4 linked regions of the Caenorhabditis elegans genome follow. The protein of the gene in region 1 interacts with the protein of each later gene in a pairwise test. Each region holds a gene or a part of one and is shown in the gene's direction. Other genes may lie near its edges.

The links.
Region 2: the proteins of sup-46 (region 1) and hrpa-1 interact in a two-hybrid assay, tested with the Caenorhabditis elegans proteins (one large-scale study listed by BioGRID).
Region 3: the proteins of sup-46 (region 1) and phm-2 interact in a two-hybrid assay, tested with the Caenorhabditis elegans proteins (one large-scale study listed by BioGRID).
Region 4: the proteins of sup-46 (region 1) and tdp-1 interact in a two-hybrid assay, tested with the Caenorhabditis elegans proteins (one large-scale study listed by BioGRID).

What each region holds. Positions count from the first base shown.
Region 1 is NC_003279.8:10,169,125-10,174,398, reverse strand, and holds sup-46 (RRM domain-containing protein), read left to right. Parts: upstream 1-1,795; 5' UTR 1,796-1,831; coding exon 1,832-1,910; intron 1,911-1,989; coding exon 1,990-2,276; intron 2,277-2,343; coding exon 2,344-2,559; intron 2,560-3,274; coding exon 3,275-3,376; intron 3,377-3,424; coding exon 3,425-3,664; intron 3,665-4,031; coding exon 4,032-4,280; intron 4,281-4,333; coding exon 4,334-4,525; 3' UTR 4,526-4,760; downstream 4,761-5,274.
Region 2 is NC_003282.8:3,336,726-3,340,888, reverse strand, and holds hrpa-1 (Heterogeneous nuclear ribonucleoprotein A1), read left to right. Parts: upstream 1-2,043; 5' UTR 2,044-2,083; intron 2,084-2,344; 5' UTR 2,345-2,483; coding exon 2,484-2,510; intron 2,511-2,590; coding exon 2,591-3,329; intron 3,330-3,378; coding exon 3,379-3,656; downstream 3,657-4,163. Other genes in the region: F42A6.6 (Hikeshi-like domain-containing protein), read left to right, coding at 4,035-4,163. UniProt on the Caenorhabditis elegans protein: This protein is a component of ribonucleosomes. Overexpression gradually increases telomere length, leading to increase lifespan.
Region 3 is NC_003279.8:11,515,764-11,520,585, forward strand, and holds the start of phm-2 (Pharyngeal muscle protein 2), read left to right. Parts: upstream 1-1,794; 5' UTR 1,795-1,802; coding exon 1,803-1,856; intron 1,857-1,910; coding exon 1,911-1,979; intron 1,980-1,984; exon of another isoform or gene 1,985-2,083; coding exon of another isoform or gene 2,084-2,116; intron 2,117-2,783; coding exon of another isoform or gene 2,784-2,955; intron 2,956-3,309; coding exon of another isoform or gene 3,310-3,428; intron 3,429-3,703; coding exon of another isoform or gene 3,704-3,820; intron 3,821-4,210; exon of another isoform or gene 4,211-4,339; intron 4,340-4,504; coding exon of another isoform or gene 4,505-4,723; exon of another isoform or gene 4,724-4,822. Other genes in the region: abhd-11.1 (AB hydrolase-1 domain-containing protein), read left to right, coding at 771-1,084, 1,220-1,345; F32B4.5 (KCTD8/12/16 H1 domain-containing protein), read right to left, coding at 2,084-2,116, 2,784-2,955, 3,310-3,428, 3,704-3,820, 4,505-4,723.
Region 4 is NC_003280.10:8,995,934-9,000,253, forward strand, and holds tdp-1 (Tar DNA-binding protein homolog 1), read left to right. Parts: upstream 1-1,891; 5' UTR 1,892-1,900; coding exon 1,901-1,996; intron 1,997-2,050; coding exon 2,051-2,244; intron 2,245-2,294; coding exon 2,295-2,374; intron 2,375-2,477; exon of another isoform or gene 2,478-2,487; coding exon 2,488-2,726; intron 2,727-2,815; coding exon 2,816-2,956; intron 2,957-2,999; coding exon 3,000-3,217; intron 3,218-3,321; coding exon 3,322-3,598; 3' UTR 3,599-3,789; downstream 3,790-4,320. Other genes in the region: Brix domain-containing protein F44G4.1, read left to right, coding at 1-69, 119-160; ndub-2 (putative NADH dehydrogenase [ubiquinone] 1 beta subcomplex subunit 2, mitochondrial), read left to right, coding at 440-531, 576-966; F44G4.3 (uncharacterized protein), read right to left, coding at 1,135-1,203, 1,253-1,352, 1,403-1,498, 1,545-1,609; F44G4.5 (uncharacterized protein), read right to left, coding at 3,848-4,309. UniProt on the Caenorhabditis elegans protein: RNA-binding protein which regulates transcription, splicing and RNA-editing. Limits the accumulation of double-stranded RNA by maintaining the abundance of the mature RNA transcripts that are formed from double-stranded precursor RNAs.

The sequences.
Region 1 (5,274 bases):
GTAGAAACTTCACGCTAAATTTGAAACAGGGGGAAAACAAATCTGTTGACCGAAGAGATGAGTGGAACACAAATCTATTCAATAAATAAACCTACACTGGTTAAAGATGAAAAATTAAAAGTTCGAGTTATAGATCGAAATAAAAGGTGATTTCTGGTATTTCTCACTTCCCGGGCGTAAAAGGTCATAAAAGACCTTTGCCCTTCTCAACCTAGTGCGAATTGTTCTCTTGACGGCGGCAATAAACGGCAGGTAGTTTTGCATTTAAAATGAAACGAGGCACGATTTTTGTCGTTAACATAAGACCAAGATTTCAGTTCTATCAATAATAAAATCTAGTGTAAGGAATAAAAGTGAGGGAAATGACGGCGATTGGGAAAAGACTAACTAGTTCCATGCGATTACTGTTCGACATGGTAGAAGGCGTCGGCTTTTAAATGTATATACGATTTGATATTCGTATGGTGAAACCTAGAGGAATAGAAGGGAGAGACATGGTCATCGGCGGGAAAAGAGAAAGAATAGGGAAAACACGTCATGAAGTGTATATGATAAGACATTTGGGACGATTGGAGCAATATCAGAAACTTTATATGGACGTTAGTCATTTGGAATGTGACTTGTGAACGATAGTTTGAAATGTTGGTGTTGAATCACCTATTCTATAAACATTTTGAATATTTTTGGACAGCTAGCGCATGAATTGTGAAAAAAAAACAAAAACGCGTTGTTATAGAACTTGAAGCAAAACTAAATTGTACAATTATTAATAATTTTTAGTGTGAAATTGAGAATAAATCTGTCATGCGGAGGCAAAACAAAACGAGAGGCAGCTTATCTCACAAAAAACGTTTTCTATTCTTTCTCCGAAATTTGACACTGAATTCAGTTCATAAAAATCCTATTGACAATTAACGAACAAAATTATTTTTAGGGAAACATGGAAGAAACAATTGAAGAATAAAATAAATTATAGAATAGAGTGTTTCAAAGAGAACAGAGATCTTGTTTCACAGAACCATGCTATCGAAAATGAAAAAAAAATCGTAAAAGATCCAGAATACTGGCTTAGCAGCAAAGAAAAAGCCTTCACTTTTCGCGGCGATTTGTGGCGTCAAATCTGATGTCGGCTGTGCGGCTCGTCTCGACGCACAAATGCACACTTGTGTTTGCCGCCGTCTCTTCTTTTCGAATTTCGATTTTTCTCTCTTTTATCGTATTTATTTTTCTTTATTTTCTTCGTTAAATCAAACGTTTTTTTGTTTTAAAATTTGCTAAATGGTTCTCGCGGCTTAAATATGCATTATCAGTCGGAAAATCTCCAAGATGTTTCAGAGAATTGCTCCGATAGATAAATTTCGAAATTGTTCCTCTTTTTGAAAACTTAATTTTCGGTTCGGGAATTTTAAGAGAGTTTAGAGCATTCTAGTCTTTCTGTAAGATATCAAGTCAAATTTTGCTCGAGTGGCCTATTTGTAAGTAAAGAAGCAAATAAGGTGCGATCACAAAACTTTTTACTCATCTGTGCATAAGTTTTCGATCATTGTTGTAACATAGTTTTTCAATTCGATGTCAAATCAAGTATTACATTGGCGAGACAGTTCAGTAAATAATCTTTTATCTCTTTCAACAATAAAAATGGGCCACTCAGCGAGCAGATTATTTTAGTTACAATTAATTTTCGACTTGTTAGCAATCAAAATGGAAATAAAATTTCAATTGTTTTTTAAAGAAGCCCGTTGTTATATGAAAACATTTGCTTATCGTCTAATTGATTCTAGTTCAACTCATTCAGAAAGCTTAATCCAAGATCCGTGTTCCATCAGCCAACATGAACAGAAATCGTCGAGACGGACCACAGCGTGATGTTAAGCGAGAGCGTCGGAGCCGATCCAGAAGTCCAAGAAGAAGTATAGTTTTTGATATTCTTCATTCCCGTTTCCACCATTTTTTCCATAGAAATCCTTCTCTATTTTCCATTTCCTTAAGGTCGTATCGGCGCTGCTGTTGGAAGTAACAATGGGAACTCATCATCGAACAACCGAATGGTTTTTATCACCAATATCGCCTATGAGGCTCGTTGGGTCGATTTGAAAAGTCTAGTTCGCGAGAAAGGAGGTGAAGTCGCTTTCTGCGAGTTGCTCGAAGACCGTAACGGCAAGCCAAAGGGTAACGCTGTGGTTGAGTTCGAAACTCGTGAGGGTGCCGAAAAATGCGTTGAGAATCTACAAAAGTTCGACTGGAAGGGAAGAACCATCATCGCCAAAGAAATTCGGGTCCGTATCTATTTAATTTTGACACTCACATTCAGAAATTTTCATCCATTTTTTATTTTTTCTGTAGGATCCGAATGCTTTCTTCCGAACCATCAAAACTGAAACAGGCATTGATTACTTGTCTCGTACCGGAGGTGGTGGTGCAGGAGGACGAGGTCCTCCACCAAAAGATCTTGATCGCCCTACTCGAACTGGAACTTATGATTTATTCGGTCTCAATATGGAATTCCTTCGCCAACACAACATTGAACCGCCACTCTGTGAGCGCATCTTCATCGCCAATGTAGGTTTCAAATATTCTTCTTCTCGAAGGGCTCCACATCTAGACCACGTTCACTTGCTGGGTCTTTATCTCAGTTTTGAGATATGAAATTATTCGAATGGGAGAAATAAATGCAATTTTTCATTTTGGTGTTTTTAAACGGAATAGTAGTAGGAAGCTTTCTACGTGGAATTATATACAACAAAATGGAATCAGTGCTTATTATAGTTTGTTCAGACAGTTGCATCCTCCGGGTAGATCTCTCAGTATCATACGAATAAAATATAGCATCACTAATTCAGTTACTAAATACCATTCTTAGTTCCCAATCAGAGGTGGTTGGCAATTATTTTCGGAAATGCTACAAAATGACCTATTGCGACATGTTTTTTTCAAAAGTTTTCATCAAAAATTAGTCTGAAAATGTAGATAATCACTTGATTTATCTGAAAATTAAAAAAAAATTATCTCGTTTTAAACATTTGGAAAAGTGCGCGAAAATGACCAAAAGTTGCCATTTGCCGAGAAACGATAATTCAACAATTTGATGATCGGCAATTTGCAACATCCTGGTATTTTTGAAGCGCTTTTCCAAGTGTTTTATCTGAAATAAGTGTTATTTTCAGATTTAAAAAAGTGATTTTCTATATTTAACATGGCGAAATATGTCATTTTATAGAATTTCCGAAATTCCACTTCTGTTTCCAAGACAATATTATTAATCAAACATTTTCAGTTGGCTTTCAATGTCGGAACCGATAAGCTTTACGAAGTCTTCGGTATGGCCGGTAAAATCACCTGGATGGACTTCCGCATTGATAAAGAAGGAAAGTCAAAGGTTTGTTAATATTTATAGTTCCTATAAAATATAAATGGTGTCTTCCAGGGAGTATGCGTAATTCAATACACTCACCCAATTGAAGCCGTACAAGCCGTTTCGATGCTCAATGGTCAGCGACTTTTTGATCGAAATCTGGTTGTGAAAATGGATAGATTCGATAAGGAACTGGAGCACAAAGAAGGTGGACTTCCACGAGGTCTTGAGTCAATCGGAATGGGTCTTGGAGCAGAAGGAGCACCACTTTCCAATGTTCATGGAATGTTCCCAGGAGATGCTTCAGTGCCGGTAAGCGATTTAAAACAAATTTCATCGGTGTGGTATATACTAGCATTCAATGGTGGTTTTAGATTTTTTTAAATCGAAAAATTAATTTTTTTTAAACAGAAATTTTCGGGTTTCCAACATTTTGATTTTTCGAAAAATGGCCTTTTATAAGAAAACGATATGTTTTCTTATGTTTTTCCCCATCAACAATCTGAAAACTTAATACAAAAATGGGTTTTTATATTCCAATTTGCTAAACATGTTTTTCGATTTTCAGAACAAACGGAACTTTCTCTGAAAAAAGCACAAAAAATGTTCGATGAAACTCTTGATAACAAATACTCAATTATAAAATTTTTAAAAGTTAATTTAATTATCTATATTTCAGTTCACAGCTCCAGCTGCCCCATTCGTAGGTGGACCACAAGTTGTTTCGGCTGGTGGTTTTGGAGGAGTCGTTGAACAAGCCAACTTTGCCCGATCCGTCATGAACAATGGACCATTTGGAGGAAATGCTGGTGTTGGTGGTGCTGGTGGAGCCACATTTGCTCAACCTGACGTCTTTGGTGTCAATGGAGCTGGTGGACTCGCCGGTGCTGCGACACCCCAGGCAACAAGGGTTATTATCATTCGCAACGTAAGTTTTCAATTCAAATTTCAATTTGTTCTCATTTATGATCTGTTATTCAGCTTCCAAGCGATTATACCTGGCAAATTGTCCGTGACCGTGTTCGAAACTTCGGAGAAGTCGACTCTGTTGATATGATGGCGCCAGGAGCTGCTCGCATTCGTTTTGCAACTTTCCAAGACGCTGAACGTGCTCGTGCTGCCCTCTATGGATCCACTGTCGAAGGCCGCATGATCAGCGTTGACTACGCCTAATTCATTCCCCCTGTTATATTTGTATTTGAAACTTCTCACGTTTCTCTTGAATCATCATCTATTATCTTTATTTTATCCGTTTTTTCTCCATCTCTATCCTTCCTTATCCCTTTAAAAAGGCTTCCTTGTCAACGGAATCTCAATAATTTAAAACATCTTCCTCATTTTCATCACTCTAAAACTATTTCTCATATTTTCCTCTGGCAGGATGGTGACAAATAAAAGTTTTAATAATAAATGACGTGACAAGTGTGTCTTCAGATGAGCGCCGCACAATTTGAGGTGCTATTCAGAAGACAATTTAGCATGTGTGTCCCGCATCAAACAAGAGCTTCACGCAATCTGATTTGCGCGCGACAACTGCTGCTCAAACGTTTTACCGTATGCCCTTAATTGCGTTTTGAAGACGTCTCTCTCCTTCATGAGCAAAAGATAGTCACGCCCATGAAGAATCCTTTGTTGCTGAGAAAACGATGATGAGCATTGTGTGTGTCTATTTGTATGCTCACAACTTTCTTTCGTTTGTCTATGTTTTCATTTTTGACGCCTTTCTCTGGATTACGGTACCTTGAGGCTTTTGGAGAAGGATTCTGAATTCTGCTTTATAACGAGTACTGTTATATCAATTTTTTTAAAAATTAATTGTTTTTATTTCAAAACCGGCAATAAAAAATTTTGGCACCAAAAATACCGTTCCTGGTCTCGTCACGACAATTTTTTGTTAAATACAAACGGGTGTGCGCCTCAAA
Region 2 (4,163 bases), on another chromosome or scaffold:
ACAATTGTAAGTTTAACCACAAATCATTTTTAATTATACCTGAATTTCTTTTCAGACCAAAACCAGAAAAGTCGTATTCATATAGTGTTGTTCAAGAGATTGTCAGTTGTATGTGCCTAACAAAAAAAAATCTATGGCATTCTAAATTTACAATTTCAGCATAGTCGCTCGCCATGTGTCACCACTCTTTCGCCAAACCATCGATTTGATGGATCCAGGCATTGAGAAAATTCATTTACTCAGTTCTGCCAGTCCGTAGTGTAGTTTTTACCGGATATAGAGAATTGAATCTAGAAAACCTGGCTGCCTGGCAAGAAGTCACTGGTAGTAACAGGCTGATGAGGGCAGCCTTCGGTGAGCTATCCGACGTGATGGGCATGCCGAAACTTAGACTAAGAAAGTTCAGTTTTGATAACACATATGGACTGGTTGGGTTATCTGGGAAAGAGAATATGCAATCTGTGGATGACTGCTTCAAGGCTATGAACTTACCACATGCGAAGGTGCTTGAAGTGACTGGAATCGACTTTGTGGACAATATTTCGATGGTGAAGTACTTTCGCCCAGGTTATCTCGAGAAAATCCGCATGTATTCTTGTTATTGCTCAGCTAGCCAGGAGATGAGTGAAGAAATTGCAAATCTCGAGCAGTGGAAGCAAGCGAAACATTTTCTGTGCATTGGTGGTAGAATGAACATTCCTATTCAAAGATTTTTCCACTTTGACCAGTTCTCCATCGGTCTTCAGACTCTATCAATCGATGATGCTGTTCAGATAAGAGATGTGAGTTGGTAGTTAAAGTAGCGTTTTGTAATGTATTCTATATTCCAGATTCTCCTCAGATCGCCCAGCTTCGAGTCAGCAACTATCGATGTTCAACTACTTGAAAAAGAAGCCATTGAGAACGTCTTTACGCCGAATCACCTATTAATTTATAGAGGAAGAGAGTTCAGACCGGTGGGAACTGATTCCAGTTTTGTGATCAATATAACAAAAAACAAGCTTGAAATCCACAAGCACAAGGGAGCTAATCCACCACGTCGTAGAGACGAACGGCCAATCCACGAGCGTATACGTCAAAGGCAAGATGGATGGTGAAGTTTCAATGGTTGCTCTAATACGTTTACATGTCTATCAAACCTTTTTCTGTTACTTAAGTAAATCGTTGTTTCATATTTAACCAGTCTTACCTACGGCTGGCATATCGGACGTCCGGCGTCAGAACCTTGTGCGTCTGGTTTTAGATGTTTGAAAATTTTGGAAAATTATTAAAGTCTATTGATAACCTGTCAAAACCGGACGACCGGACGCCAAATATGACAGCCCTAGTCTTACCAGTATAATATTTTTATAAACCTAAAACAGGTATGAATATCTCTTTTTTCTGCGCAGCGCTGGGATGCTTCTGTTTCAGAAAAATCACATGGTATAAAAAATTTCCAAATTACAGTAGTCCTACCGTAATCCTGCATTATCCCACTACTGTATGTACCTTGACATTATTTTTCCTCGCCCAACTCCCAGCCCAATATATCTCTTCAACAGCTAAGAACTACATTTTTCCTAAACTACAGTAAACCAACAGTATCCCTACAGTACCACATTAATTATAAATTAAAACATTATTTTTCATAAGAAATCGTGAGAATTTCGAGAAAAATAAAGGATTCAAAGATTATTTGAACGTTTTTTTCGTGAAAAAATGTCAAAGAAATCAAAATGTTCATCTTCCTTGTGAAAAATCCGAAAAGCCATTATAAACTAGTTGATTTTCATAAAAATTTGTAGAAATATTTTTCTTAAAATTTGTAGAAGAATTTTAACGTTTTTTAAACAAAAATTCCAAAATTGGAATTTGGTATTGAAAATACTTTTTAAAAGTTATTTTTTTAATTTGTAAAAATTTAACTAAATTCAAAAAATAAAGTTTCCCTCCTTTTTTTCTTAAAGGCACACACATTTATCGACTCGGGTCTCGCCGCGAACAGACGCGACGCGACGCGGTTAGGAATGCGGCGCGTCGCGTGTAACCCTTTTCTCTGTGGTTTTCGAGAGCATTCTCTCTCGGTTTTCGTCACAAAAAGGTATGTTTTACAGGTTTTCCGCGCACTGTTTTCGCGTAATTCTTCATTTTAATTCAGATAATCTAATTGTTGTGTAGTTTTAGCTCGAATTTATCCGTAATCTTTGATTAAATACGAATAAAACTCGCTAAAATAGTCTTATTTCTCAGATATTTATCGATTTGTTATTTTCCACGAATAGTCTACTCGTGCATGGCGTCTATATTTAACTTAATAATCTATTTTTAGATTTATCTTTACTCTAACTTGTACCTATTTCAGTGATCAACACCTCTGTCACTCTTTGTGAGTAATAGCGTTCGATAGGTAGTTACACCGTGAAACTAGCCTGTCTATTTCCTACTTCATAAGCTAAGAACTACTTGTTAGCACAATCCGATCGACTACTAAGAACTAGATCATGACGGACGTGGAAATCAAGGCTGAGGTTACGTTTGTTCACTTGCTTTTAGGGTGTAGGCCACCTGATTTGGGTCCCGATCATTTAATTATCGATTTTATTTTCAGAATGGAAGCGGAGATGCCTCGCTCGAGCCAGAGAACCTTCGAAAGATTTTCGTTGGAGGACTCACGTCAAACACCACCGATGACCTGATGCGAGAGTTCTACTCACAATTCGGAGAAATCACTGATATCATCGTCATGAGAGATCCAACTACCAAGAGATCCCGCGGATTCGGATTTGTCACCTTCTCTGGCAAAACTGAAGTCGATGCTGCCATGAAACAACGCCCGCACATCATCGACGGAAAGACCGTGGACCCGAAGCGTGCCGTGCCACGTGATGATAAGAACCGCTCCGAGTCGAATGTCTCCACCAAACGCCTGTACGTCAGCGGAGTTCGTGAGGATCACACCGAGGACATGCTCACCGAGTATTTCACAAAGTATGGAACCGTCACCAAATCCGAGATTATTCTCGACAAAGCCACCCAAAAGCCAAGAGGCTTCGGATTCGTCACCTTCGATGATCATGACTCTGTGGATCAATGCGTTCTTCAAAAATCCCATATGGTCAACGGACACAGATGTGACGTGCGCAAAGGACTCTCCAAGGACGAGATGAGCAAGGCTCAGATGAACCGCGATCGTGAAACCCGTGGCGGAAGATCTCGCGATGGACAGCGTGGCGGTTACAATGGCGGTGGTGGTGGCGGCGGCGGCTGGGGAGGACCAGCTCAACGCGGCGGTCCAGGAGCATATGGTGGACCAGGAGGTGGCGGCCAAGGAGGATATGGCGGAGGTAGTTGGATTCTGGCTTGTGAATTCTCGATTCTAATATTATTAACTTTCAGATTACGGCGGTGGCTGGGGACAGCAAGGAGGCGGCGGTCAAGGCGGATGGGGAGGCCCACAACAGCAGCAAGGAGGTGGTGGCTGGGGACAGCAAGGCGGCGGCGGTCAAGGCGGATGGGGAGGACCACAGCAACAGCAGCAAGGAGGCTGGGGAGGTCCTCAACAAGGAGGCGGCGGCGGTGGCTGGGGAGGCCAAGGCCAGCAGCAAGGCGGCTGGGGAGGTCAATCCGGTGCTCAGCAGTGGGCTCATGCTCAAGGAGGAAACAGAAACTATTAAATTAATTCCTTAAGCCCCTCTAAGTGTCCAACGTGTCTGAGCTTCCCGTGCTCTCTCCTCTGTATCGATCTTCTCAACCATTTTTGCTCTGCTATCTCATCAAAATCTTCTGTACTTTTTCTTGTTGCCTTTCTCCAGAAAGTTTCGTTTATTATTCAATTTTTTACCCTGTCTTTTTTATATAATTTATTTCTAAATTCGCACAGTTGACATCCATTCAACTAGAGAATGAATGCAGAGTTTGACACCAAATTGGCTTAATTTTCAAGCTGTTTTTAACCAAAATAATAAAAAAGTCTCAACTTTACAAAAATGTTTATCTGGATCTGGACGACAGCGAGCTGAGAAATTGATATATTTTCAGAGTAAAAACTAAAAATGTCTGGAATTTTTGGAGTCATTGTCTCAGGGAGGACGCCGATCGAAGTGGTGCCGGTCTCCGATACGGAGTTCACCTGCGAAATTGTAAACGCTGACGCGATAAACCACGTGGTGGTCTTCCTTACC
Region 3 (4,822 bases), 1.3 Mb from region 1:
AATTAAAAATTACCGGGAAATGGGCAAATCGGCAAATTGTCAGCGGAATTCAACTTTCCAGAAAATCGAAAAATTGCCGGAGTTGAAAATTATCGGCAAATCGGCGAATTGGCGGCAACTTTTCATATCCGCCAATTTGCCGATTTGCCGAAAAGTTTCAATTTTGGCAGTTGCCGATTTGCCAAAAAGTTTCAATTTTGGCATTTGCCGATTTGCCGGAAATTTTGAAATCAGGCAATTTGCCGATTTACCGATAGGCCGAGCATTTTCAAATCCGGCAATTTGCCGATTTGCCGGAAATTTCAACTCCGGCAGTTTGCCGATTTGTCGGAAATTCTATTTTCGGCAATTCTCCAATTTTCCGATAAGTTTCAATTTTGGCAATTGCCGATTTGTCCATTTGCCGGAAATTGTCCAATCCGGCAATTTGCCGATTTTCCGGAAATTTCAATTTCGGCAGTTTGCCGATTTGCCAAAAAGTTTCAATTTTGGCAATTGTCGAATTGCCGGAAATTTTGAAATCAGGCAACTTGCCGGAAATTTTCAATTCCGGCAATTTTCAATTCACGCAGTTTGCCGATTTGCCAAAAAGATTCAATTTTGGCAATTGTCGATTTGCCGGAAATTTTGAAATCAGGCAATTCGCCGATTTACCGATAGGCCGAGCATTTTCAAATCCGGCAATTTGCCGATTTGCCGGAAATTTCCACTCCGGCAGTTTGCCGATTTGCCGGAAATCAATTCGAAATACAACTCCCCAATTATTCCAGAATACCTCGAATGTATCAAACAAATGATCGCCACTGATATGAACAAATCGCGAAGCGAAGTGATGGCGGAGCTCGGCGAAAAAGTGTCAAAGGTGCTGCTCTACCAATTTGTGCGCGGAAATTTGGGTGAAGATGTGAACGGAAAAGCTCATTGGATATGCAATCTGAATGTTATCGATGAGACATACATTTATCTGCTCAGCCACGACATTCGGTTCGGAGTTTTCGATGGTCCGACTCTGTTCCAGCGGGCTCCTGGCTCGGGATTCCTTCCGGCGGCTCATAAGAATCGAGTAGAGAAAATGTTCCCAATGGTAAGGAAATATAAGGTTTTCGACTAGTTTGATCTTTAAAAATGGCGGGAAAATAATCTAGAAGGGTGTGAAGACAAGCAATAGGCTAAAAATCGATAAATTTTGAAAAATAAGCTCAAAAATTCAAATTCACAGGTGCAATTCGCCGAAACTGCCTGGTCGAACCACTGGATTCATGCTGATGACCCGAAATTCTTTGTCGACTCGATTTGCGAGTTCCTGGAGGAACCTGATCAGCTTGGAATGAGAGCTTACATTTAAATTATGAAATTTGACATGGAATTCCAGCAGTTTTAGCAGTTTTTCCTCAATTTATTCGATAAATTTCTTGAATTTTACATAATTCGTTTATAATAAATGGGTTTTCTCTTATTATTCGTTTGAAAAATTGCGTTTTTGGCCTGCAAAAATATTCTAATTTGAATCTCCCTCGCTTTTCACGAAACGCGCCAACCAGTGGTTGCTGGCGCGTTTCTCGTGAGCTTGCGCGAACGCTGCGCATTTCTTTTTTTCTCATTTCTCATCTTTTCTGCGTAAAATTATCCAATTTTTCTCTTTTTTTTTAAATTTTTCACGCCAAATTAAGAATTTGCTTACGTGGCAATCGTTTGAACCGCCTAAAAAAAAGCCCGTTATTTTCGTCGAAAATCATGTTGTCGCCGAGTTGGTGTTTTATCGATTTTTTTCCACCGAAAATTTTCGATTTTCAGAGCAAAATATGCCGTTGGAAAGCGGAAAATTGATCAATGACTTGCGTGTTAGTGAATTGAAGGTAAGTGAATCATTTTTTCCACTGGAAATTCCCTATAAAATGCACTTTTTGCAGACAGAGCTCGAGAAGCGTGGTTTGAGTACTCAAGGAGTCAAGGTTGTGCTCACTGTTCGTTTGAATAAGGTAAAAATGTGTGATGTATTTATTTATCGTCGAATCTCCTGTCAAAATTGAAAAATTACAAAAAAAAACAATTTATTTGAAAAATGCAATAAAAGTCCACGTTGCTAGTTGCTACCAGTGTCCGATGGAGGGCAAAGCTGCAAAAAAATCGATATATAAATTCGGTTTCCCACCAATTGAAAGCGATACTTCTCGAATTTCCGGCCCAACTTTCCCGGAAAAAAGAAAAAGGGCTCCCCTCCCCCCATAAATTGTGCATTCTATTCACCACTTGTGTGATCAAATTAGCGTCTCAAAATGCATAGAAAAAGGGCGCTGGCTAATGAGATGAACGGAACTTGAAGAAGAATTGGCTGCTTTTTTTCCGGCGAAAATCCATTTCCAACGGCTCAGACATTTTCGAGCTCCCCTTGTGAGCACACACGTTCCGGTGGAAGAGCACGTAAAAGCGGGGGGAAAAGAAGATGAAGCCGCCCGTGATTTGATTTGAAGGGAAAATTGGAAGAAGAAGAAGAAGGAAAAAGCTTTTAAGCGGATAGAGACAAAGTTCCCTTTTGTTCACCTCACCAACTTCCGGGAAAAGTGGCGTTACTGGACGAATTGTGGGGGTTTCTACAAGCTAATGCAATGAAAATGACGAATTTTGAAGGAAAAATCAACTAATTTGATGTTAGCAGGGAAATTTTCCGACGTTTAGTGTTTTTTTTTTCACAAAAAAAATGATTTCCTAACATCAAATTAGACCAATTTCAATTCAAAATTCGATATTCTCAGCTCTAACTTTTTTCATCGTCAATTTCCTACCTTTGGCTGTCGATGGAAAACAAATTGAGAATGATGAATAAATTGCGAGTCATCTTTCGCCGCATGTTTTGGCATCTCGGACGGCGCAAATGTGTTGGAATGAATAAGTCGGTAGCCGGAAGACGCGAGTTGGTCGAACGCTTTCTCTAAGTTGCTGTGTTTTAGGAAGAATCTGGAAAGAGAGGATTGGGTTGAAGCTTTGAAATCTGGTTAACTTGTCATTTGGTAGTGCTGAAATACCAATCGTTCTGCTCAAATATTATGTTTCAAAAAGAGCTTATGAGCTCTTCTTGTGAAACTGTCGATTTCCGCTAGTGTACTCCCCCGTGTGGTGTGATCTACAAAAAATGCGGATATTTTTCCCCAAAAAAATTTCACGTCAGCACGCATTTTTTGTAGATCAAACGGAGACGGAACATTTTTTAATGGTTCAGAAATCAGCTATTATAGCTAGAAACTGTAAATTTCGCGTAAATCTACATGACGGGTTTTCAGTATTTCTGGCCGCGAAAAAGCCTGTCTCTACCTAGAAGTGTAGCGATCCATCTCGAAATCCGTGCCTCCTCCGTCTCTACACTCGTTCAACGAATCGCCGAACACTGCTCGGCACATGATTACTTTTCCGGATACGACGATTCGTAGAACCTGAAAATATCCTTTTTCTCGACGTCAAAAATGATGAGCATTTGTCTGTGTGTGTCTCTCTTCTCTTAACATACATATTCCCCTATTGCTGTATTCATAAGCAATAATAGGGGAAAATTGATGGGAGAAAACCGCAAGAGAAATGAACAGAAAAAAGGAAAAAAAAACGAGAGCAGGAAAAATGGGCTTGTTGTTGTTCCCTTTACTGGTTCGGGATTTGATGACGCGAAAGCTTTTCCTGTTGTTTTTTGAGCCATAAAATGGATATTGTGTACCTTTCGAAACGTGACTTCTGGATTGATACGTCCGGTTGAGAGAGCCGCATGACAAGAGATGCTAATGGTTGACGGGCAGGCGGCCTCCACAAATGAAATGAGCCCAAGACGTTTGGCCTGGAATAAAGAGCAGCGATTCTTGGTTTCGGTGCATTTCCTGCTTTATCGTGAACACACGTGATGCCAGGCTGTCCCATCACGGTTTGATCTACAAAAAATGCGGGAATTTGTTGTCCAAAAATATGTGGCATCAGCACGTTCTTAACCATACGAAATCAGTTGAGAATTCTGTGTCTCTTCTCCCGCATTTTTTGTAGATCTATGTAGATCAATCCCATATGAGACACTCTGACACCACGCGTGAACGTTCAATTTTCCCACGGCAAGATTATGCCAAGATCTTATTCTGCGTTCAAGGATGATCGAATTCACTACCAGAAAGCTTAATAGTGTGTTCCCCAAGTAAACGATAATTTTTTTTTGAAATTTTGTCCTAAAATATCCAAAATAGGAGTTTTGAGACAATTTTGAGCATTTTTGAGCATTCTAGCTCCCATTTTCGCCAATCAATCTGGTAATTGAGCTTAGGGGGAATTTTTATGCTGGGGAACGAAAAGCTAAATTATGCATTTCCACGGTGAAATGCTCATTATCCTAATTGAGCTCCATCTAGAAATGACAGAATTATGGGATTTTTTTAAATCTCGTATAGCTCTTTCTCATTTCGGAATCCATAAATCCAAAGCAGCCGAGCTCTTACAAAAAGCTTCCATTAACTGCTCGCGGAGCCCATAGACTCACCTCAACGGCCAATCGGGCCCACTGATCGAAAGATTCGGAGACGATAATGCTCATGTCACTGCGACGAAGCGCCTCGACGAGGATCCGCACAATCTTGTCATCTGAATCAGACGTTGCGTCGGGCGAAGTGGCGAGCAACGATTGTGGAGCACGTTGAAGTGTGGCACGAGTCGTTGAAATTGTTGCTCCGTGAGCACAAATAATTTGTGCAACTTGCATGTATGTGTGTGTGCGTTCACTTCTTCGTTTATCTCTAGTGTTTGTTAGCAGAAAGAAAGAAGAAGAATAGGAGGCAAAAGAGGACGTCAAAGACTCTTC
Region 4 (4,320 bases), on another chromosome or scaffold:
TTAAGACTTAAGTGGCTACAGAAGGGTACTTTCGACGCAAAGTGGGGAGAATTCGAATGGGTCCTCAAGGTATGGATTTATTTAAAATTAATTGAATGAAAATTATTAAAAATTTCAGAGACACGAAATGGAAACCAGTCGTCGTCGTTTCTTCCTCTGATTACTATTATTCGTTTTTCAAAGGTTGCAAAAAAATTCGAAGCCCCAATTTTATCCTTACTAAGGTTTTTGAAGTTTTGAACAAATATCTCAATCTCTCCCATGCAACCCTATCATCTTTGTTACTGCTTTTATTTTGTTGTTTTGTTGATGTTATTGAATAATATAATTTGATGCAATTTTTTTAAACTGTTACCTCTAAGGTTTCTGACCGATAATTATCTATTCTGATGATATTTTATTATTATATATATTCGCAGAATTTATTCAGGTTCTGACCATGTTGGGGAACAAATTCGTTGCTCAGTTGGCTCTGCAGCACCTCCGCAATCGAGGACTCGTCAATTCCCCATCTCGTCTGACTTTTGTTCGGTAAATTTTCTTTCCGAATAGTATAGATTTATTTTTTATTCTAGAAATCGATTTGCTTGGGGATCTGATGCTGTTGGTCCAAATGTTCCAGTTGGAGGAAAGATGGGAGCTTCGGAGAATCCAGAATTGCACACCTATGATGGAGACTACCGCGGTACCATCTCGAAGGGGGATAAGCCAATTCCAGATTACTTCTACCGTACTCCAACAACTGGTCGAACCTACATCGATCGTTGTGTAACCTATTTCATCTCAGCTGTCATTTGGGCGTGGTTCTCGTACCACATGTACTATCATTCTGGCCATCTCTTGGGACATTGGTACATGCCATACTTGAGCGAGTTCACGGATGAAGAGCTCGGAATTCCAAAGGATTCTGCCGAAGATCCAGAATACTGGGGCAACCACAAGAAAGAATATGGAACTTATCGATAAATAGTTGACAGAATGTTTTTAGTTCATTCATAGTCTCATTCTTCTTGAAACGACTTGACTTTTATTTTTAACCGTTTCCTGTATGCCTGATTGTAATTCAATAAAGTGGCTTCGAATACGAACATTTTAAAAATATAATTATTTATTTCTAATCTATAACCAAATAACCTAAACTATTCCAAGGTCCGGCACATTGTCTCGTGGACGATAAACTCGCTCTTCTTGGTAGGAAAGAACCTGAAAAAAGACGAATGAAAAACTATTTCGAGCGGAAATTTAGTCTTACAACTTGTTTTTTCGCTTGAAGAGTAGGATCTAGCCTTCCTTCTTGTTCTTGTATCTTCCACATAAACCGATTTACTGGATGTTTGTCGCCTTTCCACCACCTGAAATAAGTATTTCAGTTAAAAATGAATCAATTACAATGTTTTATTACCGGACTCCAACATTGTACATTACTATGTAGAGAAGCGTTGAAGCTACAATTGCAGGACCAGTTCTTTTCATAGGATATGACAGAATTTTGTGGAATCTGAAAGTTAATAATTTTAATTTTAACGCTGGTGAACAACACTTACTTTATTTTCCAATTGGCTTTCCCTGTCGGTTTTGAACTCATCACCACATTTTTGTCACCTTCCATGTTTGAATAATAGTCAATTGTCAAGTTTCAGAGAATAAAATGATCATTAATGGGCAAAAGAAGGTTTTTTTTGTAATTCAGAGACGCCTAGTTTCTGAGAGGTACGGTGTGAAAATGTGTGCATATGTGCGTCATGGTGTTTGCACACCATTTGTGTAATTAATTTACAAGATTTTTGCTCGGAGATTTTTGGCTCAATTTATTGGTTTTATTGATTAAAAATAGATACAAATAATTCATTATTTTAGTAAATTTGTTATTATTTCAAATATATCTGTTTCCAGTCACTAAATGGCCGACGAAACGCCGAAGGTTAAAACAGAACCTGCGGCCGAGGTTAAATCACCCTTGGATGAAGTTAAGGAAATTCGAAAAGAGGCAGAACTGGTAAGTTAATAATAATTCGTACAGTTGCTAATATCCCATGTTCATGTTTTCCAGACACAAACTGGGAGTGACGAAAAGAAAACCACGGACCCGGAATTCATCACAGTACAAGATCCAAATGGAGATGAGCCAATAGAACTTCCTACCGTTGATGGTGTTGTCTTGATGACTACATTGCAAGCATCGTTTCCGGGTGCTACTGGTTTGAAGTACAAAAATCCAAAAACTGGAGCCAACCGAGCTGTTCAGTGAGTGCTTGGTGGAGGTATACTGACTTAAAATTTATTTTATTTTCCAGAGTCGATCCCAGTGGTTTGAAATTAATTGCTCCAGCTGACGGCTGGGAAAATAAAACGTTCTTCGTTATTGTTGCCCCGCGTAAGTTGTTTTTGTTTTATATTAACTAGTTTCACCAAAATTCAAGCTTTTGAGTAGAGACGGTTTATGTGACAGTCTGAGTGAAGACGTTCGAGTGACGTAGTGTGATTCAGAGAGCGAGAGAGTCAGAGCGTTGTCATCAGCTGACGCGACGAGTGCGAAGAGACGTAAAGTGGGATCGAGTGACGACTCGGATTCGGATGACGGTCGTGACGGACGTTCGGGCAGGAAGAGAGCGGTTGAGAGAGACAGCCAGCCAGTTGACCTCATCGTGCTCGGTGTGGACTTCAAAACGACTGACGAGTGCTTTCAGAAATACTTCGAAGATATAGGAACTGTTGTGTTCTGTGAGGTTCGTGAGATGAGTGAAGGAATCTGAAAGTGAGAGAATTAAGTTCACATAGGTTCCATTAAAAATACATATTCAATATTCTTCTTCAGATAAAACGAAAGTCGGATGGAAACTCAAAAGGATTTGGATTTGTCAGAATGTCATCAGTCGGTGAACAAAATAAAGTATTAGCTATCCCACAGCACATGATTGATGGTCGTCGTTGTGATGTGAAAGTTCCAGATGGAAGGGTATGTTATTATACTGATCAATTAAAACTAATAAGTTGAGCAGAGTTTGCAGGACAAACAAGGTCGTCCATCAATCAGTCGAATTTTTGTCGGAAGGCTCACAGACAAAGTAGACGAACATCAACTGCGAAAAGTGTTTGGAGATGAAGCAAAAAGCTATATAGAGACTGCAGTAGTTACCGATGTGTTCATCCCAAAACCATTCAGAGGCTTTGCATTCGTTACGCTGTCGAGCGCCGAAGCCGCGGAAAGAATTGTCAGGTATTGCTAATTTTTTGGAAAACCTGTTAAAAATAACTGTCTCCGGTGTAGCATCACTTTTAAGCACTCATATTTTTCATTCTAGTAAGAAATATAATTTTCAGCAAAGGATCGCTAACTGTCAACGGTTTATCAGTTGGATTGAGCATCGCACAGCCTCGAGAAGAGAATAATCAATCAGTTGGCCCTGATTATGGCCTTCCAGCTGGCTACCGTAACCGCAGAGAACGTGATCGACCGGATAGACGACCGATTCAAAATGAAGCACCTCTGCCCATGCCATTCGTCCGCCCACCACAAGATTACTCATACCGTCAGCAAAATTCTCCCCTCGAGAGGAGATACTGGGCACCTGGAGACTCGAGAGGACCAGGATGGTGATTCTCTCGAAAAATCGTTATTATTCATATTTTTCTACACTTTTCTCAATTTTCTTGTCTGACAATTTGTCATTAGTATTGTTCTCTCACATTTACTAGACCCCTACAATTTTCATGTCGACGCACTTTGCGATTTTATGCTGTATTTTTAATAATGCAATTCTACAATCTCTGAATAAAAAACCTGAAATTAAATCGACTAAAAAACTAGTTCATTCTCAAGAATTGGTAAGACAAGAGGCACAAAAAGTTAGTAAGTTTCCGAGTATTCATTGCACAACATCTCAGAAACGTACTCCGAATTCACAAAGTATGGCGTCGTGTTCACAGAATTCTGGGCAACCTCGGAACTCGTGTTCACATATTTCGGCAGAAATGAAGCTTCAACTTTTTTAACGGCAATATGTTGAGGAACATCGAAAACGAAAATCTCGGACAAAGCATCAAGTTGGTACTGTGATGGGACACGAGCCAAACGAACAGTATTCTCTGCTGGCTTATAATTCAAATCAGCCAATTCATAATAACTTTGTGGACCATCACAATTGACACGTGTAGTTTCTGGATAAGCAATGGTGGATTGTTCAGTGATCCATTGACTTTGAACACTTTCAGTTTCTCTCAAACAATCCTCCCAACCATTATCCGATTCGGCACCCGTGATGACGTCATCAAAGCTCGACTTTTCATTCTTCTCAATTTCCAGAAGCATCTAAATTAAAA